Linked DNA regions of Cricetulus griseus. The protein of the gene in region 7 interacts with the protein of the main gene of each other region in a pairwise test. Links are inferred from orthologs where the notes say so. Each region holds a gene or a part of one and is shown on either strand. Other genes may lie near its edges. The genes, in order: Psmf1, Eaf2, Nif3l1, L3mbtl2, Ppp1r37, probable global transcription activator SNF2L2 and Bend7.

Region 1 (4,454 bases), on a different chromosome or scaffold from region 7:
CCGAGAAACTACTCCTTTGCCTAGACTGGGCAACTCCTATAGTGTTGTGGGTTTTAAGGAGTAACTTTTGAAGATGGGGTGACATGCCTTATCTATATTCTGTCAAGACCTCTGACTTTCCCTTACCTCCACTTGTACAGCATTCGTCCCACTAGTATGCTCTCTTGGCATACAGACAACTTGTTCTGCTCTCCACCTCAACACTTTCATTCCAGAGCAAGACAGAATCGCTGGGGTCATGTAAAGCTGACATCTCACCATGGTGAGACCGGTGTTCCCCAGAAAACAGAAGTGGCCCAAGACATCAAGTGGCCGCCCTCTGCACCTTGATATAAAATAATATCAAGTGTCCCAGAAGGCCATGGTTGGCAAGTGACCAAAGCATGCTTGTATAATTTAACTCCCTCAGTTGATAACTCTAAGACCTGAGAGGAGCTGAGACCTATTGAAGGGCAGTGCAGGGCAGGCTGGAGATTTTCTCCAGACAGTCCTAAGAAGGTAAGGGTAGCTGCCATCCTAGGTGAAATTCTGAGGCTAGAAATATCCTTTAATGGTTACTGAGCTCACCCCAGGGCCAATGGGCTAGAATGTAACCAACCAACCAACACACCACACACACAAACAGGTCCTTTTCCCTTTCTTCATAATCTTCAGACTCCCATAACAGAAAGCCCAATTCTGTCTCTATGGCCATCTCCATGCCGTGCCACTTAAGCCATCTGACATAGCTACGGAGCTCTTATGGAGAGTAGCCCTGACCAATAGAGAGACCAAACCAATGTCAGATTTTTGTTTAAGTCAAGGGATCTGTTGGTCTTCAAATCAAATATTACACACACTGCTCTACAGTGGCAGACACAAAACCAAAGAGAAAGTGGACAATATAGCATTCTGTTTAACTGCTGAGTCGGTATTACACAGTCCAGTACATACTTTAAATACTTGTTTCCCTGTTATCACCCCCTGGAAGGGTGGATGGCAGGAGGCGGCTAGACAGGCAATACAAATAAATACACTCTATGTCTGGCAAGCATTATTGATTTGCTGGCTCTAAACTGGAAAATAAAAATTCTCTACTAGATAAACTAACAGGAAAGATGCCTCTCAAATTCTTTTGGCTTCTATTCTGAATGAGAGAACACTCGTTGGCAGTGAGTGGCCAAGGGCAACCTGAGCCCTGAGAGGACTTTAAGAGATGGGGCTACAAGAAACAAATGGCAGCACTCTAGTCCGAACCCAAACACTGTCCCCTCGAAGGGCATGCATGATTTAGTACGGAGGCAGACAGGGTCAGCAGGCAATACTTTCCAAAACCCCATCTCCCAGGCTCCTTGTCCTTCCAGAAGATGTCTGGATCCTGCATCTTTTAGTGCTGGGGAGCTACTTGAGGTTTGGGAGGAAACGGGGAAAGAAATCAACAAAAATTTTGTGTATTGCTTCCTTCTAATGAGGGTAAAGTGTAAACAGGGTAGAGTGGTCTGAGTTCCTAGTTTTATAGGACAGACAGGAATGGAACTCCAGCAGGGCTATGCCTGGTTAAGTGCTCAGAATGTTGAAAGTGTGTCAAAGGAGGAGTCCATAAAGTTGTGTGAGGAGAGAAAACATACCAAGACTCTAATGTATCTAAGAAGCTAAAGATTGTAGGGTTTTGGGAACCGTAGTTAGAAATGAGAGGAAGATTTAAAATCTCTCTGTAAGTTCCAGGGGGTGAGGGGACCTTCTTTCCAGGACTGGTCTGAATTTTGAGTGCCAAGACAGCAACATAGAGGGGCAAGCCTGGAGTCCTTGAGTCTCCAAGTACGTGTATGTGGGATTGTGGCTGGGAGTTCCTTTGGTGGAGCAGATAGGAAATGAAAGGCAGTAAGGGGACCAGGGCCAGTTTACCCAAAAACCTGCTACACAGGTAGACATGAGGGTCATAAGGAAGGGGCAGAGAAAAGGAGAAGGCTAGGGCAGAGAATCAGTGATGCATACTGGACCTCTATGGGGATGTCAACAAGGCCCCATCAGTTAAGAGGCAGAATCTGGAGATAGGAGAATAGATTGGATTCTGGTGGAGACAGCTAAGGGAAGAACACTCACAAAGAAGGCGTGTGTGTGCTGTAGATGAGTAGTGAGTGGGCTCTGGCTGGTCCATCGTGCTAAGTGTGTGTATGTGTGTGGGGGGGAGGGGGTTCTAGAATATGGCTGAGTAGATCAAAGCTCACCACCACAGCTGTGCTTGGTGTGCGTGTGACTTGAATGGTGTGTGTGATTGTGTGTGTGATGTGTGTGTGTGTGTGTGGGGTTCTAGAATATGGCTGAGGAGGTCAAAGCTCACCACCACAGCTGTGCTTGGTGTGCGTGTGACTTGAATGGTGTGTGTGATTGTGTGTGTGGTGTGTGTGTGTGTGTGTGTGTGTGTGTGTGTGTGTGTGTGACTTGAATGGGGTGTGTAGCATTGAGTAGTCCACGCCATGACTGTGTGTGATAAAGATGCTTTGGGGAAGTCGGGTGGATGAGGACTTTAAGGAAGCTACTAGTCTGTCTCGGCGTCAGATCCACACGACTCGGCCTGAGTGAAAGCGCCGGGACGCCTTTCGGTTACACACACGCTGTGCCAGCTGCTGGCACCAGCTCCAGGCGCGCCAAAGTGCGGCGTCACCTCGGGCCCTGGCTCGGCAGGGTCAGGCGAGCCCTCTGGGCCTCTGGTTGCGGGCTCCCCTCCACCCAGGCCTGCTCCGCAGCGTACCTGGTCGCCTGTGCCCAAGACATAGTAGCCGTTTGTCACCACTTCCCAGTGCAGGAAGCAGACGAGCGCGTCCTGCGGGCAGCTGATGGCAGGCGCGGCCGACGCGAAGAGAACCTCCAGGCCCGCCATGGACGCTCGCGGCTTCTGTGGGGAAGGAAGGAAAGGAGCTGGCAAAGAGCAAGCCGCGCCGCCTCAGAGGAGCGGGACGGCGAAAGCGGCAACACCAGGGGTGTTCCTTTCGCTTTGGGCTCTGTCCGCACCTGCGCGGAAACGCAGAAACCTGTGCCGGAAATAGCTCTTAGCTTTGTAGGCGCTCCGGGCTGGAACCGCCGGCGCCGCGCTGGAAGGTTCCGTTAGGGAGCACACGAGCGGGGCCGCGACTTCTCACAGCCCGATTCTGCTTCCGTCTACAGCACACCGACCACTCGAAGGCAGGCAGTTTATTCTTGGAGAGAGGCCACCTTGCTGCCAACTACAGTAGGCTTCTCATCTGCAAAGTGGAGTGCACTAGGGTGGGAAGTACTTAAGCAGTCTGGTGTAGATGTTTTCATAGTAATTTATTAGCATGCCTGCAGTGCCTGCCTGATAGCACCTTATTCTACGTGCTGAGCTTGAATGCATTTATTGAACTCTCCCAGATTAAATTTTATGCGGTTGGTATTAATGAAAGTACTGTTCCACTTTGTAGATTTGGAAACTGTGTCACTGTCAGCCAGTAAGTGATAGAGATGCGCCCAGGGGCTAGCAACTTGGCTTCTAGGATAGCATTTGAACATATAGATTTCACACTAAATCCTGTGCTAAAGCCTTTACGTCTCCTCGCGACAAATTCATGGGTCTATTCTATTACCTCTCCTAACTTTGCAAGTGACAAAACAGACCAGAGAGTTGTTGGCGCCCATGAGCGAATAGCCAAATATTATCAGTTGTTCTCCTACCTACCTCAAGATTTTTTTTTTTTACCACCTATTATGTCTCCCAAGTTTTTTGAAGTCCAGTACTTTTTTTGTAGTCAAATAAATTCACTTTCCCCATTTTGGTTGATACCATGACCCAAGCCATTGTCTTTTTTCACCTGGATACCTTTTCTGCTACACGATTTCACCCTGCAACCAGAGGGATTCTGCTGAAACACAAGGAGGACCATGTTCCTTAGGTCCAAACCACCCAGGGCTCCCTCCACAAAGGAGAAGAGAAGTCCACTCTGGGTCTGCCACAGGCCCTATGCCTTTCTAATGTCTCTTCCAAGTGTCCCTTCATCTCCTGTTCTCCTGACTGTAATAACTTTGACTTCCTTCAGCTCTCATGTCTAGGTGAACAAGCCATAGTCTTACCCTGATGGAGCTGTTTAGTGGTTAAAAAAGAACAGACAAAAATTAGTCCAGGGTGAAACCTGCCATTTTGGAAGTGCTCAGAGGCCTGTGCAAGCCCACAGGAATCCTGTGATTCAGGTGAGGGTCAGGAAGGGTTTCTTGAAGAAAGAGATGGATGACAGTATAGAAATCTGGTGGAAGAATAAAGAAAAACGTTCCTGTGAAAGGGAACAGGATGTGCAAAGGCACCTAGGTGTGAAATTCAGCTCTCCCTGTGTGGCTGGAGAATCAACACTGTCTCTCTCATCTCGGGCTCACCTTTAACTACCCTCCACACTGTGCTTTCAGAGTCGGCGGCATGCTGGGGAGTGGGGGCAGGCATGCAGCAGAGAAAGCTATCAGCACCAGTA
Region 2 (4,609 bases), on a different chromosome or scaffold from region 7:
AAAGCTAGTGCTAGCCCAAATCCAAAATTAGTTCTAATGTATTATTCAAACTCTTCTATGTAATGTATCTTTGTTGCTAAATGTTACCTTTACTACACTTACATAAGTTACATGCATTAATACTCCTCATGCACCTATGAACATAACTCATAAAACTAATAGTGACTATTATTTATTCTTTACCATGTTCTAAATTCTCTGCTAGTTTTTTTAATGCTACCATAATCCCTCAGAAAAAATCTAAAAGGTAGCTATTACCATTTTCACATATGAACACTGAGGCTGAAAGCTTTGAAAATGTTCTCAAAGTCACATTATATATGCAGTTAGTGAAGGTCAGGGTTCACAGACAAGCTTATCCAAAGCCTTAGTATAAAAGACAAGCAAAATTTATGCTGTAGATAAGACAAAATAATACTTTCTCTCAAATGACACTAGCTTGTGTGTTTGGTATAAATTTGGCCCATCTGGCCTGCACAAATGCAAAATTCTCTATTGTGTAGTCTCCACTTGTCACTGAATTATTAAGACTCGGAGTTACCCTGGAAATGAACCTCTTCTTAAGTATAATACCAGGTTTTACTTAAATAAACATGAAAAGAATCTGTGTGATATTATACTTAATTCAATAAGGAGAGAGAGAGACAAAAAAACAAAGACTGAAAACCTGTTTAATGCCTTCTGCAAGACTAAGTGTGTAATCTAAGTTTGTTTACTCTGTAATTATTATTATCATTGTCTTTTTGCATATTCTTGTTTGTTGTCTTTCTTGTGGCTGGGTTATGTGACTCTAGAAAATATGATTTCATCATTTTAAGAACTTTTGTAAAGGTGGGGATGTAGCTCAGGTAGATCACTTGACTAGTATGTGCCAGGCCCTGAGTTTGAGTTCTAATGCTGCAATCAATCAATCAGTCAATCAATCAATCAATCAAAGAAGCTATAAATGAAAGTCTTTGAAGCACCTTTGAGGCACTTTTCAGAAGCTGTATTTCATTCATTTAATTTTGGATTTGTATCTGTAAGAAGAGAATGCATACCTACGTTATAAAAATAGACACATTGAGGGACTGGAGAGATGGCTCAGCAGTTAAAAGTACTTGTTCTTGCAGAAAACTTGAATCATTTTGAGCACTGACATCAGGTGACTGATAATCACTGGTAAGTCCAGTTACAAGTGATGTGAGGCTTTCTTGTGGCCTCTGAGGGCACCTGCATACATACGATGTACATATATACACTCAGGCCCACATATACACATGTAAAATTTAAAATAATATAATCTATCTCTATATAACTTTTTTGTTATTTTAAACCTTGTAGCTTGAAAAATAAAATATTACTGCATATCTGAGAAGGAAGAGGAAAGGACATGCTACTTGGGGAAAGGGCATTGAGAGATCAGATAAGAAGAGTATGTTACTTTTGGAAAATGAAACTGAAGAGGGAGGGAGGGAGAGAGAGAGAGAGAGAGAGAGAGAGAGAGAGAGAGAGAGAGAGAGAGAGAGAGAACACAAGGACCTGCACAGCACTTGCTCCTGTTTCATTTTGGGAAGTCGTCTGAATTGTCATCAGGGCAAAATAAACAAGGGACATCATTGGCGCTCTGCTGGTAAATCTCTCCAGTTTACTCCACCAAAACATGCATAATAAAACCTTTTAATAAAGTGTAAACATATCATTTGAAAATTAAAACCATTGTTTCTTCCTACATCTCCTCTGAGTTATTATAGTTAGATTGTTTACAACTTAAACTTTGAGGGCTGAGTTTAAATAGGGTGTTTTCAGAATATAAACTTTATAAGAAAAAGGACAGAATGATTGAGGAAGGTAAAACAATGAGACAGTAAAGAACACCTGGGCTGGAAAAAAAAAAAGATGTGAAAAAAAACTCTTCACAATTTGTCACACACACTCACACAGACACACACACACACACACACACACAGGAGGTCACGACTCAACGATGTTTCCTTTATGCTCTAGAACTCTGAGGCCTATTATGCAAAAAAGAAATTTTACATACAAAAGTATGCTATATTTTTTCGTACTGGCATCTATATCATGTAATTACTAAAACAAAAGGCTCATTGTAACCAATTTTCCAACAATATTAAAGATAACTTATTAAAACCTCACCTTTCAGTTTTTGATAATCAGTACTTAGCTGACCATGAAATTTGAGATCTAAAAAAAGATACAAACTATTGAGATAGCTGACAGTCTCTCCCCACAAACTAAAACGAGAACCGTCATCAGAGGACAAGTGAAAATGGGGAAGAAATGTCCCTGTGGCCTCTAAACATCCCTTTTGCCCCGCATTCGGTCCTTTGTTCCATCTGTCTGTCACCTTTCCTCGCTGCACCATCCACTTGTCATGCTAGTCTCCACAGCCACCCCTACAGATCTTCCCCACAAAACGTCCTCTCCTGCCTGTCAGCCCCTCTTAAATCCTCCCAGGGTTCTCCTACACCTGCAGGACACCAGGTGTCCGCGCCGAGACTGGGAACCGTGTAGTGGATCATGCTGCCATCGGGTTTCCCGGTGCGCAAAGGGCCGCGGGGACAGAATTACAGAATTCCGAAGCGTCTGCTTCCATGTCACCCACCCACACAGCACCCAGGAGGTTCCTCCCGGGTACCCCGAGCAGCCCGCACTCACAGCGCACGGTGTGGAACGCACAGCGCGGCTGCTTCTCGAAGCTTTCGCCTAATTTGAGAACCCGCTCGCGACGGTCCAGGTACGCGAGTCCCGCTGGTCCATTCATTCTCTTTCTCTGCCACCCACTTGGCCTTCGCCACCCGCTGTCGCAGCCTTCCAAGCAGCTGCACCGGCCGCGAGCCTGAGCTCGGTCCCTGCCTGCGGGCTGGGATCTCCGGCGCGTGCGCCCGCCCCTTGGAGGCCCCGCGTCCTGATTGGCTGTCTGGAGACAGCTGCCACGCCCATCCCCTGCGGTCCCGCCCCGCCCCTAGCCCCCCTCTCCCGCCCTTAGCCCCCTTCCCGCGTCGCGACGCACGCAGCTCGGCGAACGCAGCCGTGCTGAGGTGCGCGCTGCGGGTCTGGGCCTGAGGTGGACGAAGGCGAGGCGAAGATGAGGTAACAGAGCTGAGGTGGCGCCTGGGATGGCTGAGGCATCCAGGGGGCGGAGAAGCTAGGACGCCAGGCTCTTCGACCTAGTGAACTGGCTGGCGGGGCCTGGTGACCGGAGCTGGGCCTCCTCCGCGCCTGGCCCGCAGGTTTGGAAACGGACGCCTGAGGAGGGGCGGCGGCTGGGCCCAGGCCTGTGGCTTCCCGAGGCCTAGTAGCTCCCGGCCGGTTCTAGAACCCCAGCCGCTACCCCGTCGGTGCCCTGACCAGACTGGAAGCCACTGGAAGTGATGCAGTTCCCTTGAGGGCCGTTTTTTAACCTTTAAACACCACAGGCCTTTTCCCGCCAGGGTTAGGGTCTGAGGAGGGAGCATTTCGGGGCGGGGCGCGGGGCGCGGGGCGCGGGGGGCGGGGGGATGAAGCTTAGGACTAGGGGTAACTGACTGCATTAGGTTTCTGGCATTTGTTTCCATCCTAGTGATTCCTGGAGGCAGTGAAGGGCACGGCCTGGGACTCTTGATTCCTCAAGGATCGGCCTAGCAACAGAGTAAACGTATGAATTGATCAATAATTGTCTTTTTTTTCCCTTTCCTCTTGACACTTCACAGCATCATTGTAAAGTGAGAGAAAGCATTCATTATGAATGTTAGAAGGGAATTCAGTAAAACCATGCAATGAGTTGCTCCAGCAGATGATTTTTTTTTTTTTTCAGGCTAATTGTATCATTCCTCCACTTCTACCTTAAACAGATATGTCAATGTATTTTTCCAGGTGGACAGGTGATTAGGTTTGCCTTCTACCCTCTAAAGGTGCATGGAGACTGTTTTATATGATAATTAGACACGAAGGTTTTGGAGCCAGAATCTCTGAGCTTGTACTCCAGTTTCATTGTAACGCTGTGACTTTGTGCAAGCAATTCAAACAAACGCGTTTATCATTAGAATCATTAGAATTCGGGAAGTAATGATAATAGCTATGCAGAAAACAATGCCCCTCCTTTAGAATTGTTGAGATGGTTAAATGAAATACATGCAAGCAAGTACAATTATAGGGCATGCTTATTTAGGATTCAGCTATACTTTCGTATTTTAAGACATCATTGGTGGCTACCTTCTAAATTTTGAATTGCAGGGCCTAGGAATAGCAGCTTTGCTTACAGATGGAAATATTTGTTTTGAGAAGCTAAGATCGTTGACTTTTGGCCGTCTAATATCAAGGGGCATTTGTTCTGTGGGCCAAATGAGTGCATACATACTTACTTGCACATGGATTTCTATTGCAGTATTGTATATAATAATTTGCAACCTAAATGACATCCAGTGAATGAGATGTTTAAGTATATTTCAATGCACTCTCACAAAGAACAGATAGGATAATGCAGACACTGGAAAGAGTAAGATAATTAACATGCATTCTATAGGAAAGTTTTGTATCTTCTACAATGCTAAGTGTTTTATTGGTCTTTCTTTAAAATGGCTTCAGTGAACTTGTCTATGAATGATTTATATTTTTCCCAAGAAGA
Region 3 (2,847 bases), on a different chromosome or scaffold from region 7:
GTTTTTGCCACGTGCCATTTGTCCATGTGATCTACACTTCACTCAGGTGACTCTTCTTAACACTCAAGAGTATAAACTGTCTGATGTTCTGAATACAGTTGGCTATTTTATGAGACTTTAGTCTGCCTCATTTGTAGGCCCTGCTCTCCCAGGTTCATGCTGTCAACTTGAGCAGTTTGATCCCTACACCACCATAAAACAAAATTATAGGAATAAATTGAGATGTAATGATCATCTATGAATTTTTTAAAATCCCAATAAAAAATTGATATCTAACTTAAAAGCACATGGAATGACTTCATCACTCCAAAATGCTGTTTAGAAATAAATCTAAATCCATTTTTTGTTGCTGTTTTTCTTGTCTTTGCGAGGGTGGGTGCCCTAGAGCTGGAGTTACAGGTGGTTGTGAGCTATCATGTTAGTGCTTAGTGCTGGGAAGTGAATTCTGGTCCAATGCAAGAGCAGCAAGTATGTTTAACTGCTGAGCCATCTCTCCAGTTGCTTTTTTTTTTTTTTTTTCATTTTGAGATATAGGGTTCTAGGCAAGCTTGGACAGCATAAGCTGGGATTATACTTGTGCACTGCCACACCCAGCTCCAAATCTGTTTTTAAATGATGTTTAAGATTAACCAAAGGGGCCAGGCATTGGTGGTGCACGCCTTTAATCCCAGCACTCGGGAGGCAGAGAAAGGCGGATCTCTGTGAATTCGAGGCAAGCCTGGTCTGCAAAGCAAGGGCCAGGAGAGGCTCCAAAGCTACACAGAGAAACCCTGTCTCGAAAAACCAAAAAAAAAAAAAAAAAAAAAAAAGCCCAAGGCTAGCCTGAGCTAAATAGTGAGGTAGAGGCTATTCTGGGTTACGTGGGATTTTGTCACAAGTAAGCAACCTAACAAAAAATGCCTGATTATATACAAGTTTTAATCCCCTTTTCCAAGAATTTATAATGAATATTTGTCTTTATTGTACTCTACACATGGTTTTTTCCTTATGAGCTATAAAACTTGATGAAACAGACCGATGAACTGAAGATGATGTCGTTCAAATAAACTTGTGCAGAAGGACGACAACACCACTAACTCTTCCTATTTCAATCCAAATGAGGTGTAGCTTGTGTCACTATGATGTCCTGTGCATTTTAAACCACATGAAGAGGGTCCCTGTCTGTCTCAGACAGGATAATATTGATCTTATTCTCCAAGTGAACACCCAGCATTTGTTGAAGATCGGAAAGGAAACCTCGTTCAGTGTTGCTATGTTCACAAAGAATGACATTTATTCCTTTGGAAGCAGCATCCAGAACATCATGGTGGGACATTTCACCTGCCAAAAGAGGAAAGAGCAACTTCTTAAATATTAGACACAGAATCTATGCACCCTGAACCACTGCAGCAGAAAGCCCAGGTTTGTATTCTGAAGGAATGGATGCAATGCCACACTACTCCTGAGCATGGAAACCAAGGGAGGGTTTATGGAGCGATCAGACAGAATGTTTGCCTCTTGTGCACAAGGTCCTGCGTTTGCTGCCCATGTGACTTTATGGTGCAGAGTCATGTCCATGTTCAGGAGCAAGTATACAGGGATGGGACCGATGGCGTTGGGTGTGCTGCTTCATGCGTGTGTGCGCACATGGAGTGTAGGTCAGAAATCAGCTTTCAGAAGTCAGTTCTATCCTCCCCTTGTGGCAGCAGGAATTGAAGTCCAGTCATTAGGTTTGCAAAGCAAGTGTGTTTATCCCTTGAGCCCAAAATATGAATTTCATTTTATATTTCATCTATACTTTATTTTCATGGCCTGAATATAGTATCATATAGTATTTTGAATGTGCCAGCATTTTTTTGTTTTGTTTTTGAGACAGCTCTTCTCTATAGCTTTGGGAGGCTGGCTTGAACTACCTGACCAGCATTTTTACTATAACTTGTCACATGACTCCAAGTGTAGAATTTTCCTCTTATGCTTGTGTTATTTAAAACAGGGAGGCAGAGGCAGGTGTATCTCTGTGAGTTCCAGGTCAGCCTGGTCTACAAAGGTACACAGAGAAATTCTGTCTTGAAAAACAAAAACAAAACAGTTTTGTTTGTTTGTTTTTTTGAGATGGGGTTTCTCTGTGGTTTTGGAGGCTGTCCTGGAACTAGTTCTTGTAAACCAAGGGGGTCTTGAACTCACAGAGATCCGCCTGCCTCTGCCTCCCAAGTGCTGGGATCAAAGGCGTGCGCTACCACCACATGGCCAGTTTTGTAGCATTTTGGACATAAATATTTTTCTTTGACTATTGCAAAATGCTGCCAAGGATGACGTATATGTAGTCCTAGAACTTGGGAAGCCAAGGCAAGAGGATCAGGAGTCCAAAGCCAGCCTCAGCTAAATAGTTTGAGGCAATTCTGGGTTATAGGAGACCCTGTCAACAAATAAGCTACCAAAGAAAAAAGGCCTTGTTAGTTATTGTGGCTGGGCAGTGGTGGAACACGCCTTTAATCCCAGCACTCAGGAGGCAAAGGCAGATCACTGAGTTTGAGGCCAGCCTGGTCTACAGAGAGACTTCCAGGACAGCCAGAGGTGTTATATGGAGAAACACTGACTTGAACAACCAAAAAGAAAGAAGGAAAAAAAAAGGTACTGTGAAAAAGATAAAGGGAAAACTCAAATATGTTTTGAATTTTTAAAAACAAAAACATTGTGGGAGAGGAGAGAATAAATGATCAATCCGTATGAAACTTTTGAAATAATGTGTGTGCCTATGTATGTGTTACATACAATTTGGTTTGTTTATAGAAAATTAAACTTTAATCAGTGTTTACAGACATAAAGCCAATAAAAATAAAAATTTTAAGTGTTTGTTGTTGTTGTTGT
Region 4 (3,964 bases), on a different chromosome or scaffold from region 7:
TTGCTGCCAATGGTAAGTTGATCCCCTTTGGATCTTTCACTATCAGATTCAGCCTAAGCTACACAGGCAATAATCCATCTCCCAAGGCAGACAGGCTCACAGAGGCCTGGGGCAGCATGCAGTGGTCCAGGTACACAGGCAAGTTTTTTCTGTTTTGTTTTGTTTTGTCTTTTTTTCCGAGACAAGGTTTCTATGTGTAACAGCCCTAGCTATCCTGGATCTTTAGACCAGGCTGGCTTCAAACTCACAAAGATTCACCTGCTCTGCCCCCAAGTGCTGGGATTAAAGGCGTGTGTGTGTCCCACCACTGCCAGGCTCCACAGGCAAACTCTTTACAGGGCTTCTTTTATATTGTGTTAAATGTGACCTAATTTCCTTACAATACAACTGTAGGGAAAAAGAGAATGCTTTCTTCCCCTGCAAGAAAGACACATTAGCAACTCAGAGAAGGACATTGTAGGACTTAGGACCAACCTGTCATAGTTGAAGACAAGTGGACAATCCAGGAAGGCCAGGCAGCTGGCTCACTCTGCTCAAAAGAAAGCCTCAGGAGGCCTCTCTGACATTAGGAGACAGGACTGAAAGCCTAAAGAAACCAGGCTTGAGGAATGCCTTTAATCCCAGCACTCAGGAGGCAGAGGCAGACAGATCTCTATGAGTCCAAGGCCAGCCTGGTTTATAGAGCGATGTTCCAGGACAGCCTCCAAAGCTATAGAGAAACCCTGCCTCAAAAACAAAAAAACTGGTCTTGATGGCTGATACCTATGTGCCAGCACTTTTGAGACAAAGGCAGGAAGACTGCCCTCAGGCTAGTCTGAGCTATAATGTGAGACCCTGTCTTGAATTAAAACAAAAGACACAAAAATGAAAGACAAGACTGGTAGTACTGGCACATGCCTGTAATCCCAGGACTAGGACGCACAGGCAAGTGTTGTGCCAGCCTGGTCTACAAAGTGAGTTCCAGGATAGCCAGAGCTACACAGAGAAACCCTGTCTGGAAACAAACAAACAAATAAATAATAAAAAGACAAAAGACCCGCTGTATCATTCCAGGCTAGCACAAGGAACAGCTGCTGAGCACTATCACATTCTTGGCCACAAGCTCATCCAAATCAGCCAAACAGGACCCTTTATTCTTCAGGAAGAACCAGAAGGTAGTCCCCCAATGGGATGTTTGGTATTAGAAAGGTCCTCAGACAAGGGCTAAGGGTGCAGCTTGATGATATAAAGTGTGTGCAATCCCTAGTGGCAGAAGGCTGGGCATGGTGGCACATGCTTGTGATTCTAGCAGTTGGGAGGTAGAGGCAGGAGGACCAGAAGTTCAAAGCTATCCTCAGCTACATAGGAAGTTAGAGGCCAGCCTCAGATATATGAAATCCTGCCAAAACAAAACAAATTAGGGCTGGAGAAATGATTTAATGATTAAGAGCACTGATTAAGAGGACCAGGGCTTGACTCCCAGCACCTACATGGCAGCTCACAACCATGCAAAGAATTCTACTTTGGGAGGACCTGATGCCCTCTTTTTTGTTTGTTTGTTTGTTTGTTTGTTTGTTTTTCGATTTTTCAAGACAGGGTTTTTCTATGTAGCCTTGACTGTCCTGGAACTTGCTCTGTAAACCAAGCTGGTCTTGAAGTCACAGAGTTCAAGAGTGCTGGGATTAAAGTGCTGTGGCCAGACACAAGCCACACCAGTGTCTGGCCTGGTTTTTAATGGGGGGGGGGAATATCAAAAATGAAAATGAAAAATGAAAAAAAGAACACCCACTGAACTCAAACCAAAATCCAATTGTGTAAATAGTATGTAGACACTTCGGAAAGCAGGATCAGTATTTATGCCTTCTTTCTTTCTTTCTTTCTTTCCTTCTCTCTCTCTCTCTCTCTCTCTCTCTCTCTCTCTCTCTCTCTCTCTTTTGATTTTTCAAGACAGGGTTTCTCTGTGGCCTTGGAGGCTGTCCTGGAACTAGCTCTTGTAGAGCCACTATACCTGGCATATATTGTATAAGTATATTGTATCCCATGGGAATACAGTTATAGATGGTTGTGAGCTGCTATGTGGGTACTAGGAATTGAATTCAGGACTCCTAGTGGAGCAGCCAGTACTCTTGTCATCTCTCCAGCCCTGAAAACAAAGAATTTCTGGGGAATGGCCACTGTTCTCAAAGATGCTGTCCAGCCTGGCGCAGCTCAACTGAAGTGTGTGGGTAGCAATGTGGCAGGCAGCCTGAGATGTCCCCTGGCTATCCCTGGTTGTTCCTCCCTTATTTCCAGAGTACTCACGTGTTTAAAGCAGCTGACAGGAGCAGCCTTGTAACTGTGGTCCTTCAGGAACTTCCCCCAGTCGAACCCTAAGACCAGAGCTGCAGAGCACATGGGTAAAGCTGAAGCAGTATCTACAGCAGCCATGTTAGAACAAGAACCTGGAGGCCCCATTGGGCTCTAGGAACAAGTTCCTTTATTACCACCAATGGCCATCAGCATTAGTATTCAGGCATCTGTACTGGCGTGTCTTTGAAGCTGACAGGATATGTCCTCAGCTGCAGCCACTAAGAGCACCACCTGGGCATATTCACTATGTTCCCTTTTAAAAGGGCCCTGCCCACCTCCCATCCTTCTCTCTTTCTTTTTCTCCCTCTCTCTGTCTGTTCCCCTCTCCCCCTCTTTCATTTGTCTTCTCTCCTGCTGCTACTGTTTTCCAAGGCTGGTCTCCCCACTTCCCCTTTCCCCTTTTTATGATCCATTTCCCTAATTAGAAAACAAACAAACAAACAAACCCTCTGCTTAAACCCTGTTTCATGGTGTCTTTCTCTCTCATGCAGTTTTTTAATTGAATTACAACAATCAGAACTGCAGAGCAGAGGGGCATCCAAAGAGAAACTTCACTCTTCATGCTCCACAGAAAGAGGTGATTAAGTCAGATCTCATGGGATTAAATTCCTCCTCCAGCACATCTAATGGGCAAGAAGAGCAGCAGACTGCCCACCCGGCTGCACAGTGCAGTCTCAGCCTCTTGGAGGCTTTGTGTAATTTGCTCATCAATTGCTATGCTTAGAAAACTGAGAGGCCCCTTCCACCTGCTCCACATACCCTGGGAGTCAGAGCCATATAGACAGATGCTAAGTGAAATGAAGCAGCTAGCATTTGGTTTCTGGGTGCTCTCAGAACCAGGGAATTGAGGGCCACTGAAAGAAATGCCTAAGATCATTTCCACAAAAGTCAGATGGCAACAGCTCATGGTAGGCCTAGAGCCTCAACTTTACAGCAGTCCACCTTTCTCCCAGGCAAGGCTGTTTTCTGCCATGGTCCCTACCCCAGGGTTCTGTCTCACCATCTTGTCCTGTGGGTGTCCCATCTGCTAGCTGTCCTGTCCCCTGGGCATGAAGGAAGGCTCCAATTTTGGCAGACCAGGCTGCCTTGTGCAGCACTTTGGCTTTCTTGGTGGGCGGCTTTCCCTGGAGGGCAAGAAGAAAATCATACAGGCTGGCAGTTATGCATCAGAATCAGTTTCTGTTTTGCTTTGTTTCTTTGAGATATCATGGCCTGGAATTTGCAGCTCTCATGCCTCTGCCTCCTGATTTCTGAGATTCTAGGCATGCACCACCATACCAAGTGGGAAAGCAGAGCTTGGTTGGGACTGCTGAGGCCAAGCTCCTGGTCTTGGTCCAGCTAGTTAACTTTCTTTGAGCTGGAGTTTCTTTTGTAAAACTGCTGATGAACCAGGTGATGGCGGCACATGCATTTAATCCCAACAGAAGCAGGCAGATCTCTGTGAGTTCAAGGCCAGCCTGGTCTACAGAAAGAGTCCCAGGACAGCCACAGAGAAACCTGGTCTCAAAATACACACACACACACACACACACACACACACACACACACACACACACACACACACACACTAAAATAAAATAAATAAAAATACTGATTATGAGAGAGAACACTCAGGAGATGGTTCCAGAAGGATGGG
Region 5 (3,780 bases), on a different chromosome or scaffold from region 7:
AGCTAGCCTGGTGTAAGAGATCCTCACCCAAATGAGGTGTGGTAGAAAAATACCCAGGGTTCTCCTCTCAGCTCCATGAGTGTGTCATGGCAGGCATGCGCTGTAGTCACACACCAATCTGTACACACACATCCTGTGCCTAAAAAGTAACTTTAAAAAATCTCTGACAGATACAATGGTGGGGTGCAGAGGCCTCTCAGGTTTTTGGTTGGTTTGGTTTCTCCAGACAGTTTCTCTATGTATCAGTCCAGATGGATGGCTCTCCTTAGTTTTCATTTCTTGCGGTGCCTGAGATTGAAGCCAAGGCTCACCACTGTCTAAGTCTTCACTTTCAGTCTAAGTTACCCAGAGTGGCCTGGAACTTGTGATCTTTTCAGCCTGAGTCACAGACCCGGTATTTCTCTGGTAGTCCACAAGCCAGGCACATGCTAATGGCAGAGCAGGAGGCTCACAGGCCCTGTGCCCACCCCTCCCTCCACAGATGGGGCCAGGAGAGGGCAGGCTGGACCTGCTATCTCAGCCACGGGAACCTCCAGGCCGGCTGCACGTGACAGAGAGTGGCCTTAGTGTGTTGCTCGAGGTGTGGATGGGTAAGAAGGTGGGGGGCATGGGGAGGTCTGCCCAGCCTTCTGGGTTTCCTTTGGGGGCGCTCACCTCTCCCCCTTGGGCCCGGCGCGAAGCAGAGGCAGACGGTGACCCCAGCTCCCGTTTATTAGAAAAGGTGTGACAGCGGCACCGACAGGAGTGGCCCCAGCCCCCCTCCCCACACCTATCCCCCACCCGCTGCCCACTGTTGTAGTGCCTGCCAGGGCGCAGCCTCAGCGGCCCGGGCAGCAGGGTCCCAGAACCCCACTGCTGCGTGCCCAGCTCCCTGATAGATTTTATTGCACTTAAGAAAGAAGCTCTCTTCCTTTCCGCTGGCCCCACCCCACAGGGGCTGGCAAACGACCACCACGCTCAGCTCACCGGCCAGGTCCTGAAAGGGGCCAGGGGGCCACCCTAATCTGTCCTGCCTCCTACCCCTCCCCAGGACCAGTGACCCTGGAGAGCTCCTCCCGTCCGTCCTCCTCCTGTCCACCCGGCCCCAACCTAGAGAGCGAGAGCGGCAGACACATAAATAGTGCTTTGCTTTCAAGTCCAGGAAGCCGCCCCCGGCCCCCAGCCCCGTGCGAGCGCCTTGTGGCTGTAGTGTTCCTCCTGGGGGACTAGGCGGGGGTCAGCAGATCCCTGGATGGCTTCAGCTCATCACAGACCGGCCGAAAGAAAGAACTGGGGGAGGGAACAAAGGTGGGGACGGTCAGCGGGCATGCGTGGGCAGAGGGCAGCCCTGCCTCCTCCCCAGCTCGGATCCCACGGAAGGACGGACGGACGGACGGACGGACGGGCGGGCGGGCGGCACCTACTTACAGTGTCACAGTGTGTCCCGCGGGGCCTCCTGACTGGCCTCTAAAAGCAGTTCCTCCAGCTTGCTGGCCCCCTGGGGGCGGTGCAGTGCTGCGGGCGGAGGGTGGCAGCTCCTCAGAGGCAGGAGGGCACCGCCCTGCCCCTCCGCACCACACAGTCGTCCCCCCCCCGGAGAGCTTCGGGGGGGCCAGAGACGGGATCACAGCCACACTCTTCTTCCTCTCTACCCCTTTGCGCCATTCTCAAGACCGAGCCCAAGCTCGAGCCCTCCCACGGGCCCCACGGGCTTCCTTCCCTGCCGCGGTCCCCCCCCCCCCGCCTGCCCACACTTCTCACCGTGCTCCAGGCTGCAGCTGTCCCCCTTAGCCTCCGGCCCCGGGGGTGGCTCTGGGGGCAGCGCCAGGGCGAACTCGGGCTTCAGGCCGTTGGGCAGCGGCTGCCCTGCCTGAGGTGGCTGCGGCTGCAGCTGAGCCTCGGATGACTCTGGGTCCGGGATGTCCATGGTCTGAGGCGGCCGAGAGGCGGGTGGGGAGGGAGGAGAGCGGGGAGGACAGGAGACAAAGGTGGGGGGCACAGGGGGCTCTGGCCGCTCGGGTGGACTCTCCACCCGGGTCACCACGAACACCTTGTGGCCTCGGCCCGGGCTGGAGACAGAAATGCGCTGCTCAGCGGGGGCGGAGGGGCTGCCTGGGGGGCTCCTGTCCCCAGGGCCTAGGGAGTCCGTGGAGGGGATGAGGGCAGGGCAGGGGGCCGAGGGGCTGCGGTCAGCGCCGCCCTCATCCCTCTGCTGGTTCTGTTGCTCCTGGTCCTCCGCCTCCTCCTCCTCCTCCTCCTGCTCCTCCCGGTCCGGGTCCGGGTCCGAGTCCGAGTCCGAGTCCGAGTCGGGGCCAGGTCCAGGTCCAGGGGCCCCATTCTGTGCCCCCGCGGCTGGCAGGTCCCCAGGCTCGTCCAGGGGCCGGGGTGCGGTGATGGTGATCTCGGGCATGGAAGCCGCCGGCTGCAGCGGCTGCTTCTCCCGCTCGCGCACCAGCACGAAGTTGCGCTTGCAGCCGTTCTGGATCTCAGCCAGCAGGGCTTTCTGCGTCTCAATGAAGGTCTTCACCTGTGGGACCCGGCCTGCTAGGGCTCTGTCGGCCGCCGCCCTACCCTGACCCGCTCACCCTCCCGCCTGCCCGGCCCAAGACAGCACTGGCACAAAAGCAAGCGCCCTCACCGCCTCCTTCTTGGGCTCGCGGTCCAGGTCCAGGCGAAGCAGGGAGTGGTTCACCTTGAGGGCCAAGGACAGTGCCATGAGCCCGCCCGTCTTGATCTCGTTCTCCCGGAGGTCCAGTCTCAGGAGGCGGGGGCTCTCGGCGATGAACTCTGCCACGGCCACCGCGCCTGGGAGGGGGACCGCAGGGGCTGGCCACGGGCCCCACGCCTGGCCGCTGGCCGGCCGCCCTGCCGAGCCCCGCTGGCCCCTGCGCCCTGGCCCTGGCCCTGGCCCTGGCCCTGGCCCTGGCCCTGGCCCTGGCCCTGGCCCGTATCCTACCCTCGCACGTGAGCTTGGTTGAGGCCAGGCCGAGGCGCAGCACGCTCCGGTTGCTGATGAGCCCATTCTTGAGGTTGCGCATGCCCTCATTCCCAATGGGGTTGTGGCCCAGGTTCAGGGTCTCCAGACTCTGTGTGTGCGGCTGGAAGGGACAGGGTAGGTGAGGAGGGAAAGCCAATGGTGGAGTCAGGAAAGGGGCACAAGCAGCAGCCAAGGCTCGTGTCCTCCTCTTGCTTTGCCTCTCAGGGCACAAGCCTACTGCAGGTCTGGGACCCTCAAGTCCTTCCCATGCTGGGTCTCCCCCAGCCCTCACTAGGCCCTCTTCCCCGCCAGAGTCCACGCGGCCCCATATTCACAGCCTGACTCCCTGCCCTCACAGAGCCTGTCTCCGAATGGCTTTAAAGACCCCAAAGACAGCCTTCTTGTGGGAGGGTACCTGGGCACTGGGCACTAAAGTGCCCCCTCCTTTCCCTGGGAGTATTTATGCCTGCTCCAATTACTTTATATATTACATGATAATAAAAAGACTAAAAACTTACTGACTGCTTCCAGAAATATTAACTTTTTTAGGCCAACATAGTTTGTGCAAATCACTGTCCTACGTAGTCTGTTACAAAAAGTCAATTAAAGAAAAGGGCCCAGCCCCGCATAGTGTGGCATCTCTGAGTTCTAGGCCAGCCAGCTGGTCTACAAAGCAAGTCCAGGACAGTCAGAGTGACACAGAGATACTCAGTCTTGAAAAGAAAAAAGAAAAGAAAAGAAAAGAAAGGTAAATAATGAAAGAAACAGGGTCTAGGGCTGACTAGATGGCTGAAGGATCCAAGTTCTATACTGGGGCATTTATA
Region 6 (3,964 bases), about 190 Mb from region 7:
TTAAATACTGTGGCAAAGGAACCCTTTACAGGGTTGTTCCCTGTTGCCGAGCTTCATTGCAGCCAAAAGTCACCTAATACACTGTGCACCCTCCCCTGCTGAGAGGAAACACCACTGAAAGAAACAGGAAGTCTACCTAAACATAGTCCTTTCCCTCAAAAAATTAAGATAAAACCACCATCGCTTCTGGATATATATACCCAAAATAAGTAGAAACAGAGTCTTGAGGAAATAAATCTCCTCCACATGCCCATGTTCCGGAGAGGCACCGTAGCCAAGAATTCAGAGGGAACTCAAAGATCTGTAGACAGATCAGTGACTAAAGAAAACATGGCAGATGCAGTGACTAGGACTCAGCTTTTGGGAGGAAGTACCTCCTGTTACTTTCTACAACACAAAGGAACCCTAGGAAGCCAGTCACCAAAAGATGGACACCAAGCAATCCCACTCATGTCAAACTCACACAAAGTAGGTGGTTATAGGAACCGGGGTAGGGGAGAACTGCTAAAGGCTTAGGCCTTCGTCATTTCTAAGAGATGAAATACTACCAGAGACCTGTTAAGCACCCATGAGAGCAGCCTTACCACTACTGAACTCCACCCTTAAAAAACAGTTAAGGTGCCAGGGAGTGGTGGCGCAAGCCTTTAATCCCAGCACTCGGGAGGCAGAGGCAGGCAGATCTCTGTTAATTTGAGGCCAGCTTGGTCTCCAGATGGAGTTCCAGGACAGGCTCCAAAGCTACACAGAGAAACCCTGTCTCAAAAAAGAGAAAAAAAAAATGTTAAGGTGGTAAAGTTTATGTTGTCTTCTGACCACCATTCAAGGGCGATGAATAAATAAATGGGCCTTTGCCCTCTGGGATTAAATTCTTTTGCCATGGAGATGACCCACATCGTCAAGGAAGTGGCAGGTCAGCCTGAGGGAAATGGTGATGACAAGCAGGGAACAAGAAGGATAACACTGTGGAATGGGGGAAAAAAATCTGCCAGAGATCTGAGCTGACAAGTTAGGGTGAGGACAAGCTGGCTGCGGGGAGACAAGCATGCACAGGAGAAAGGTGAGAGGCCAAGGTGGAGAGATGGGTGGAGACATCACTGTCAATCCCCAGCTGTGAAAGTGGACTCTGCTAGACAACATGCTACATGCAGGATCTCTGTGTAACTTGACCTGTCCTGCTCCTTCTCTTTTACTGGATATGGGAGCATCAGGCCAGAAAGATAGATAGGGAAAAAAAAAATCAGTTCCCACCAAAGGTAAGTAGAATTGAGTTGTAATTAAAGTGGAAATGTCCTCCTCCTTATGCTCATAAATTCACTGTTATGTACAATGACTTCCTGACTGTGGAGAAGGGAATGTCAAGAATTTTTTTTAAAGTAACAATTAGAGGCACCCCCTATTCTGTTTTAAATCATTGTACTTTGAACTCTTCGTGTAAAGTTAAAGTTAGAAAAATGAAGCTGTCACTGCATACAGTCTCTGTAAGTACACAGATGGTACCCAGCCTTCTAGCATTACCTTCAATGGCTTTCTTGAACTCTTCCTCTAATGGGAAGATGAGCCTTGAAGGAAGTGTGAGAAGAAGCCCACCCAGATATCGCACAAAAAAACCTCCCTTTATTCACACTGACAGTAGAGAACAAGGCCTTTCGGTTTTCAGTGCTCTGCTGGGGTGGAGGCAATGGTTCCAAAAGTAGAAACGAAACGGAAATGCTCCACTTCCGAGAACCTCAGCATGGGTCAGGTTAGACACTTCTCAGACAACTTGACACATACCTGGGATCCCTCCAAGTTGAATGTCTGTGCATTGTGACAGAGAAGCATGACATCTTTCTCCAGGTCACCCAGGCTCCGGTACTTGTGATTACGAATTCTTTCCTGATGGGAATTTTGAACAAAACAGAAGAGAAATATGTAACTGTCCTTATTGTTGAAGAAGGCCCCGATGTCCCTTTGTCTTCACAGCACTCAGCCTTGCTGAGTGCGTGGGACTGCGAGACCCTCCCACCAGTGTTCCGAGGGCTGGGGAGGAAGGTGCACACAAGGGAGAGGCGGGTTCTCAACAACATGCAATGTATATAATCTGAGCTTTCGGTGATCAAATAACATGCATGGAAAGGATCAAGGTCAGCCCATCCCCACCTTTCCTGGGGCAAGCACTTGTGTAGGTCAGTGGTTAGCAACCAGGAGGCCACGACCCCAGCCCCAGCTAGCGTCACTCCCGAGCATCCATGCATCTCCTTTGTTTACTCGAAGAATAACAGTGAACACAGTATCTACCTTTATCTTTTTGAAATCCACTGGCTTCCTAATTAATTCATAGTATTCTGGTAACTCTTTCCTGGAAGGTAACTGAATGAAGACTTCACTGAGCTGTCGCCCTGAACTGCAGGATGGGGGAGACAAACAGAAACAAAGCAGATAAAGCACTCCTCAGGGAAAGGGTCGTTTCAGAGACTGTCAACAAAGCAAAGGAGGTCCCACGGATACAGGCATGGGGGCTCTGCACATGGAGGAAACGCCCACCACTGCATTGGAGGCTGATGCCCATTGGGAGGGCTTCAAATCACATGAACGCTCAGTTAGGTCCCCATTTCTGTCACAGGCACACGATGTGGCAAGGACTCTGTGGACTCCCCTGTCAGGAGGTAATCTCTTTTCATCATGACAGAAATATTTAAAATAACTTATTGAGCCCCAAGTCCCATTTTAAATGAATAACAGAGTTGGTTAAAAGAAAGCACACAGACATGACTCCCACGTTCCTTTGTCTTCAAACTCACTGTGTATTTAGAAAATATGTTAAAATATACAGAGCAATGCAAATGTGAAGCTGTTGTATGCTCTCTCCAGCCCTTCCTGTCTCATTCCTTTTACAGTGTTCTACAAGTCATGAGTCCCTTCTATTATCCCTTGCCCGAGGAGCCCCTTCACGTCCCCTAAATGCACTTATGTGTGTGGAGCAATTTGGCAATTCAGGCGAGAGAGAGAGAGAGAGAGAGAGAGAGAGAGAGAGAGAGAGAGAGAGAGAGAGACAATTGCTAATGCGTGCACGCTGCATGTTTATAGAGTCTGTGCTGTACCCTCCCCCCAAAGAATGGTGGGTTTATTGAAAGCAGGTTTAGGAGAGAAATGCTTTAGCGTTCTGTCACTCGGAAGAGCAGGCTGCAGAGCAACACGGTTTTCACATCACTTAAGGCTGGGAGCAGGCACAGTTAAAGCCACAAAGAAGGATAATTGAGGTTCAAGACCCCAGTGCCTGATTTGGCCTCTCTAAATCAATAACAGCTTATGATAGATGGTCTAGTCATTTTCCACAAAAAATCTCGCTGCCCTTTTGATGGCATCTCTGGTTCCTTTGTGACGCCAGAAACATCAAAAGATAATCATAAACCCCTGGCATGTAAATTTTGGAAGGTGACTGCACCAGTGTTCGGGAACGCTCAGAGGCAGTGGCAAGGCATGAGTGACAATATGCTGTTTTAATCCACAGTCCCAGTTGTATAATTAAAAAATAATCATAATGACAGTTATCATAAAAGAGGCATGCGCAGTAACTCAAGCGGTTGCCTAGCAACCAGTGGGGGAAAAGCTGAAGTGCAAAGGGGCCTGCATAAATTAACCGCCGATAGTCAAAGGATGGGCAAGTTTTTCGGCCATAGAGGGTCACTGTTTTGTTTTATTTTTAATGCATGGAGGGGCCTCATGAATACAACATTGGGGACAAACACAAGAGGTTTAAAAACAAGACTACTGAAGGCTAGGAAATTAGATTCTTGGATTACTGCGGTGAGAACCAAGGTGTTCTCTACCCTTCCATTCCCAGCAGGCTATAGCACAGTTTCTTATGTACAATCAATTCCAACATAGGTCCATATTTTCCTGCTATTTTGGAATGTATAAACTCATAACTCACATTTAACCTGTTTTAAAAAGAATATCTGAATGGCACCAAAAAAAGCCCCGC
Region 7 (3,964 bases):
ACAAAAAATTCCTTCAAATGAGAGTCAAAATAGATCATTTATGTTTCTTGTTTGCATCATTTCAGTAAAAATATATTATGCAAGGGGCTGAAGAGAGTTCAAGTTGTTGAAGTGTCTGTGCTGTAGTGTGGAGACCTGAGTTCAAAGCCCCAGAACCCACATAAAATCCAGGTGTGGCTTCTGTAATCCCAGCACCAGCAGGATGAAGTCAGAAAGAACATATAAGCCCATCAATCTAACCAGATCAACGCGCTCCAAGTTCATTGAGAGACCCTGTCTAAAAACAGTGGAGAGACAAGGAAGACAGCTGACACCAACCTCTGCCCTCTACACACAGCAACAGCAACATGCACACCCAAATGATTCTCTCTCTCTCTCTCTCTCTCTCTCTCTCTCTCTCTCTCTCTCTCTCTCTCTCTGTCTGTCTCTCTCTCTGTCTCTCTCTCTGTCTCTCTCTCTGTCTCTCTGTCTCTCTCTCTCTCTCTCTCTATATATATATATATATATTCACACTCATCATTCACATAAAGAAATATAAATGTATTATACAGTTGACCCTTGAATAACATATGTTAGAATTATGCACTTCTGCCTGTAGGAAACTGTTTTGTAGAGATTTGCAACAGTTTGTGAAAACTCTCAGACAGACCTCACAGCCTAGAAATAGTGAAAAATTATGGGAAAGTTAGACATGTCATCAGTATATAAAATATGTAGTTTATAAAATCAGTTTATAAAATATATAAAATAATATCACTTATTATTTGCCATTATAATTTACTACCAAAATACATACATTATTTTTTTTAAAAATCAAGATTTATTACAACTTGGGCACACAAATACTATAGACTATCATGATGTCATTTGCAGTTTGGAGAAATTTTAACAAATGTAATATTTAGCTACCTCTTGTTCCCACTGTGGGGAATTAGAAGTGAAGTGGGATCTTGGCCTTCACTTGAGACTATGCCCTGCCCACCTCCCAGAGCTGCTCAAGGATCACTAGGATACAGATATGATTGCCATGTGTTTCTTTGGGATAGCTAGTGGTTCTAAAGCTGAGTCACCTCCCTTTGCTACTATTTGAATGTTAATGCTTGCGCTGTCCATATGTAACCTTTCATTCTTTTGTGGTTTTGCTGTGGTAAACTTCACTATCTACAAATAATGAGTATTATAGGAATTGGTTGTATCTCCTGCCTGTCAGAAACTTAGGAAGTAGCTGCCCCTTAGTCTGCCCCGATTCATGGTAGCTAACCTGGAGCTAGAGAGGTCCAGCTGCCAGAGCTTTTTTCCAAATGTGCTGTTTCTGTTCATGGACAGTGGGGAAATTCTAGTGCATATTTAGGGGAAACAGAGGAGAGTAGCTTTGATAAGGAAAGTACTTCAATGTAAACGTGAGAAGGAGACTGGTGATGAGGATTCTAAGATGCAGGGTGGAGAAAAGAGGGATAATCCTTCATGAAACACCTCTGAACCTTCAGGCAAAGTGCTGTGCCCTCCCACCCTGCCTCCAGCTTCTCCCCACCCCAGCCAGAGCGTATTGCAGAAGTTCCTGCGTAGCCACAGCTCTTCATTGTTGAAATGGCACACTTGCTAGTAAAACTAGTTTTTATTAGGCTGGTTTGGTTCTTAATATGAACTTTGTAGCACACATGCTACGAAGGTGGTTTTGTAGGGCTGATGCAGAGCCGGGACTGTTTTTGGTTTTGTTTTCACTGTTTGAGAAAGTAGCATGAGGGCTGAGGGGGATGGCTCAGCCATTAAAGCCTCACAACCAAAAATATAAGAGAAAATAGCATGAGTGTTTATCATGACTTGTCAGAGTATCGTTATCTGTGATGAACCGGCCTCACAGTAGACAGGCCTGCCTTGGCAGTGCGTTGTGTGCCTGCGTTCACACAGACCATGCCACCTGTGTGTAACGCAGCATGCATGCACCTTACAAGCAGAAGGCTGGGTAATTAGATAAAGTCAGACCCCAAAATTCAGGTTGTGAAAATTACTAGGTACATTTTCTTCTGGCACAGTTTGAAGATAATTGTACATACTTCAAAACCCTGTCAAGATACATTTTTTTTCCTTTTCTTTATAATTATTTTTTGCATGCTTTGGGAGTATATCATTCTTTTCTTTCTTGCTTAGGAGAACTTCCAGGGGCGAACTCATCAGCTGGATCCAACTGCTGTACTTGTAGCTGCCAGTCAACATTGCAGGCCATTCTTCAGGAGCTCAAGACCATGAGGAAGCTAATGCAGTTTCAAGCAGGTACAAAGACCAGCCCTGCAAAGCACCCTTTGATTGGGAATGTGTGCCTGACATCTTCGGTTGTGTGCATTGTCCTTTTGTCCCACACTCCTTCCCTCCCTGCTGTCTTACTGTGCCTTTTCAGGTATTCGTTTTCTTGACTTTTTTCAACAACCTATGATTTTGTCTTATTTTATTTTCTTAGCAAATCAAACAGATTTTGTTATTGCCCCTAATACTGCTGTCAGGGCTTATGCACATGAATTCAGTGTACTTCATCCCATGATCTCCTGGTACTTCACAAATGCCAGTTAATTAAATTTTGGAATATCTTATGTGAAAGAGCCCTTCAGGAAATGCAAGCCTCCCTGGTGAAGATGCTCGAGGACGTGAGCAGATGAGAAGTGGTGAGCCACAGGCTCTGCCTGTGACTTCTCTTGCATCGGGATGTAGTGATCAGGCATACCTTGCATCTGGCCACTCCCTTCACTTGACTCTCTCTGTTCTCTTTGTCACTGGGTAAGGTGAACAATGGAACCGGGCATGTAGAGCTGGGAATTGAATTCCCAGTTTCTCACCCTCTAGCCGGACGACTTCTAGGCCTCCCAGTTCTCATCTGTGAATGGAGCATTAATGTCTGATTCGTGGGGCTGTTTTTAAATGTGAAGGAGATAGCTATAGAAAGTGAGATTTTTGGAAGGCAGAATGCACACCTCAGTGTTCTTTTAAAAGCCCACAGCACTTTGTAGAAGTTTGGAAGTCGAGGTCCAGTGGCTTATTTTTCCGATTTTCACTATTAGTAAGAAAATTTATTCTTTATTTTTGTTACATATGCAAAAAATAACAAATCTCTCTCTCCTGACGGATAAACTGCTGGTAGATGTTAGTATGGGAAAGCGGGAAAGCAGCCTAGCCCTGTGGTGATGGCCCTTCTGACTCTGATCACGGTTGTGTTCATGAAGTCAACACTCAGAAAATGCACTTGGTGCCAGCCACAGCATTCTAGCAAAATCTTCACAGTCCATGGTATGGTTTTGATATAAAAAGCTTACTTCTTAGACATATCAGTCACCCACAATCAAATTTTTAGAGAAACCAAAGGGATTTCTGGAAACTGTATTTTTAAGGACTGAATTTGGTCTTATCCCAAGGCAAAAATAAGCATTTTGTCAAGTCAGTAAGTACTTGGCTCACCTTATTCCACCATGGCACTCTGTGTCCTTATCAGCCTGGCAGAGGTCGCCATCTCCTATGTAAGGACCTCGGAATGAAAGGTTACTTTACTCTGTAGATGCTGTTCACGGAGAGGGAATCTGTTAGTACTTAAGAAAATATGCATATGAAATTGTAATGATTTATTTTGTTACTTAAGCTCCTTACCACTGAAATGGCAAACTACAAATTGCACCCCTGTAAATCCTTAACTGGAGTCTTTTTAGAATCTATTAAGTAAATGCCATTTTGTCACCATGTTTTCTCTTCTGAACCTTTGCAGATTAGTGAAGCAAACGGCTCCAGAGCTATGGAGAACAAAAAGGATAAACCGAATAAATGACTCTCCTTTAATTTTCTTTTAAACTTAAAAATTCATGTTGTGCAGGCAGATTTACTTGGGGCTTATTGCCCATGAGACATAGATTTAAATTCTGTTTTGAAAGGTTCACCTTTATTTTACAGGAAGATGAGGACTTAGATCAAGCAGTTAAGATCTGAG

The links.
Region 1: the proteins of Bend7 (region 7) and Psmf1 interact in a two-hybrid assay, tested with the Homo sapiens proteins (2 studies listed by BioGRID and IntAct). The two-hybrid records come from large-scale screens. The link is inferred for Cricetulus griseus from reciprocal best matches to the Homo sapiens genes BEND7 and PSMF1.
Region 2: the proteins of Bend7 (region 7) and Eaf2 interact in binary tests that used the Homo sapiens proteins (3 or more experiments, as listed by UniProt). The two-hybrid records come from large-scale screens. The link is inferred for Cricetulus griseus from reciprocal best matches to the Homo sapiens genes BEND7 and EAF2.
Region 3: the proteins of Bend7 (region 7) and Nif3l1 interact in binary tests that used the Homo sapiens proteins (3 or more experiments, as listed by UniProt). The two-hybrid records come from large-scale screens. The link is inferred for Cricetulus griseus from reciprocal best matches to the Homo sapiens genes BEND7 and NIF3L1.
Region 4: the proteins of Bend7 (region 7) and L3mbtl2 interact in binary tests that used the Homo sapiens proteins (3 or more experiments, as listed by UniProt). The two-hybrid records come from large-scale screens. The link is inferred for Cricetulus griseus from reciprocal best matches to the Homo sapiens genes BEND7 and L3MBTL2.
Region 5: the proteins of Bend7 (region 7) and Ppp1r37 interact in binary tests that used the Homo sapiens proteins (3 or more experiments, as listed by UniProt). The two-hybrid records come from large-scale screens. The link is inferred for Cricetulus griseus from reciprocal best matches to the Homo sapiens genes BEND7 and PPP1R37.
Region 6: the proteins of Bend7 (region 7) and probable global transcription activator SNF2L2 interact in binary tests that used the Homo sapiens proteins (3 or more experiments, as listed by UniProt). The two-hybrid records come from large-scale screens. The link is inferred for Cricetulus griseus from reciprocal best matches to the Homo sapiens genes BEND7 and SMARCA2.

The regions. Positions count from the first base shown.
Region 1 is NC_048599.1:28,279,551-28,284,004, reverse strand, and holds the start of Psmf1 (proteasome inhibitor PI31 subunit), read right to left. Parts: upstream 3,008-4,454; 5' UTR 2,861-3,007; coding exon 2,732-2,860; intron 1-2,731. UniProt on the Homo sapiens protein: Plays an important role in control of proteasome function. Inhibits the hydrolysis of protein and peptide substrates by the 20S proteasome. Also inhibits the activation of the proteasome by the proteasome regulatory proteins PA700 and PA28.
Region 2 is NC_048597.1:53,161,070-53,165,678, reverse strand, and holds the start of Eaf2 (ELL-associated factor 2), read right to left. Parts: upstream 2,892-4,609; 5' UTR 2,768-2,891; coding exon 2,662-2,767; intron 1-2,661. UniProt on the Homo sapiens protein: Acts as a transcriptional transactivator of TCEA1 elongation activity. Acts as a transcriptional transactivator of ELL and ELL2 elongation activities. Potent inducer of apoptosis in prostatic and non-prostatic cell lines.
Region 3 is NC_048595.1:412,847,570-412,850,416, reverse strand, and holds the end of Nif3l1 (NIF3-like protein 1), read right to left. Parts: intron 1,321-2,847; coding exon 1,136-1,320; 3' UTR 898-1,135; downstream 1-897. UniProt on the Homo sapiens protein: May function as a transcriptional corepressor through its interaction with COPS2, negatively regulating the expression of genes involved in neuronal differentiation.
Region 4 is NC_048595.1:378,814,207-378,818,170, reverse strand, and holds part of L3mbtl2 (lethal(3)malignant brain tumor-like protein 2), read right to left. Parts: intron 3,453-3,964; coding exon 3,329-3,452; intron 2,440-3,328; coding exon of another isoform or gene 2,361-2,439; coding exon 2,281-2,360; intron 1-2,280. UniProt on the Homo sapiens protein: Putative Polycomb group (PcG) protein. PcG proteins maintain the transcriptionally repressive state of genes, probably via a modification of chromatin, rendering it heritably changed in its expressibility.
Region 5 is NC_048602.1:27,823,867-27,827,646, reverse strand, and holds the end of Ppp1r37 (protein phosphatase 1 regulatory subunit 37), read right to left. Parts: intron 3,078-3,780; coding exon 2,936-3,077; intron 2,785-2,935; coding exon 2,618-2,784; intron 2,507-2,617; coding exon 1,741-2,506; intron 1,495-1,740; coding exon 1,412-1,494; 3' UTR 1,408-1,411; intron 1,270-1,407; 3' UTR 763-1,269; downstream 1-762. UniProt on the Homo sapiens protein: Inhibits phosphatase activity of protein phosphatase 1 (PP1) complexes.
Region 6 is NC_048596.1:34,604,475-34,608,438, forward strand, and holds part of probable global transcription activator SNF2L2, read right to left. Parts: intron 2,384-3,964; coding exon 2,278-2,383; intron 1,876-2,277; coding exon 1,774-1,875; intron 1-1,773. UniProt on the Homo sapiens protein: ATPase involved in transcriptional activation and repression of select genes by chromatin remodeling (alteration of DNA-nucleosome topology).
Region 7 is NC_048596.1:221,953,015-221,956,978, forward strand, and holds part of Bend7 (BEN domain-containing protein 7), read left to right. Parts: intron 1-2,148; coding exon 2,149-2,271; intron 2,272-3,964.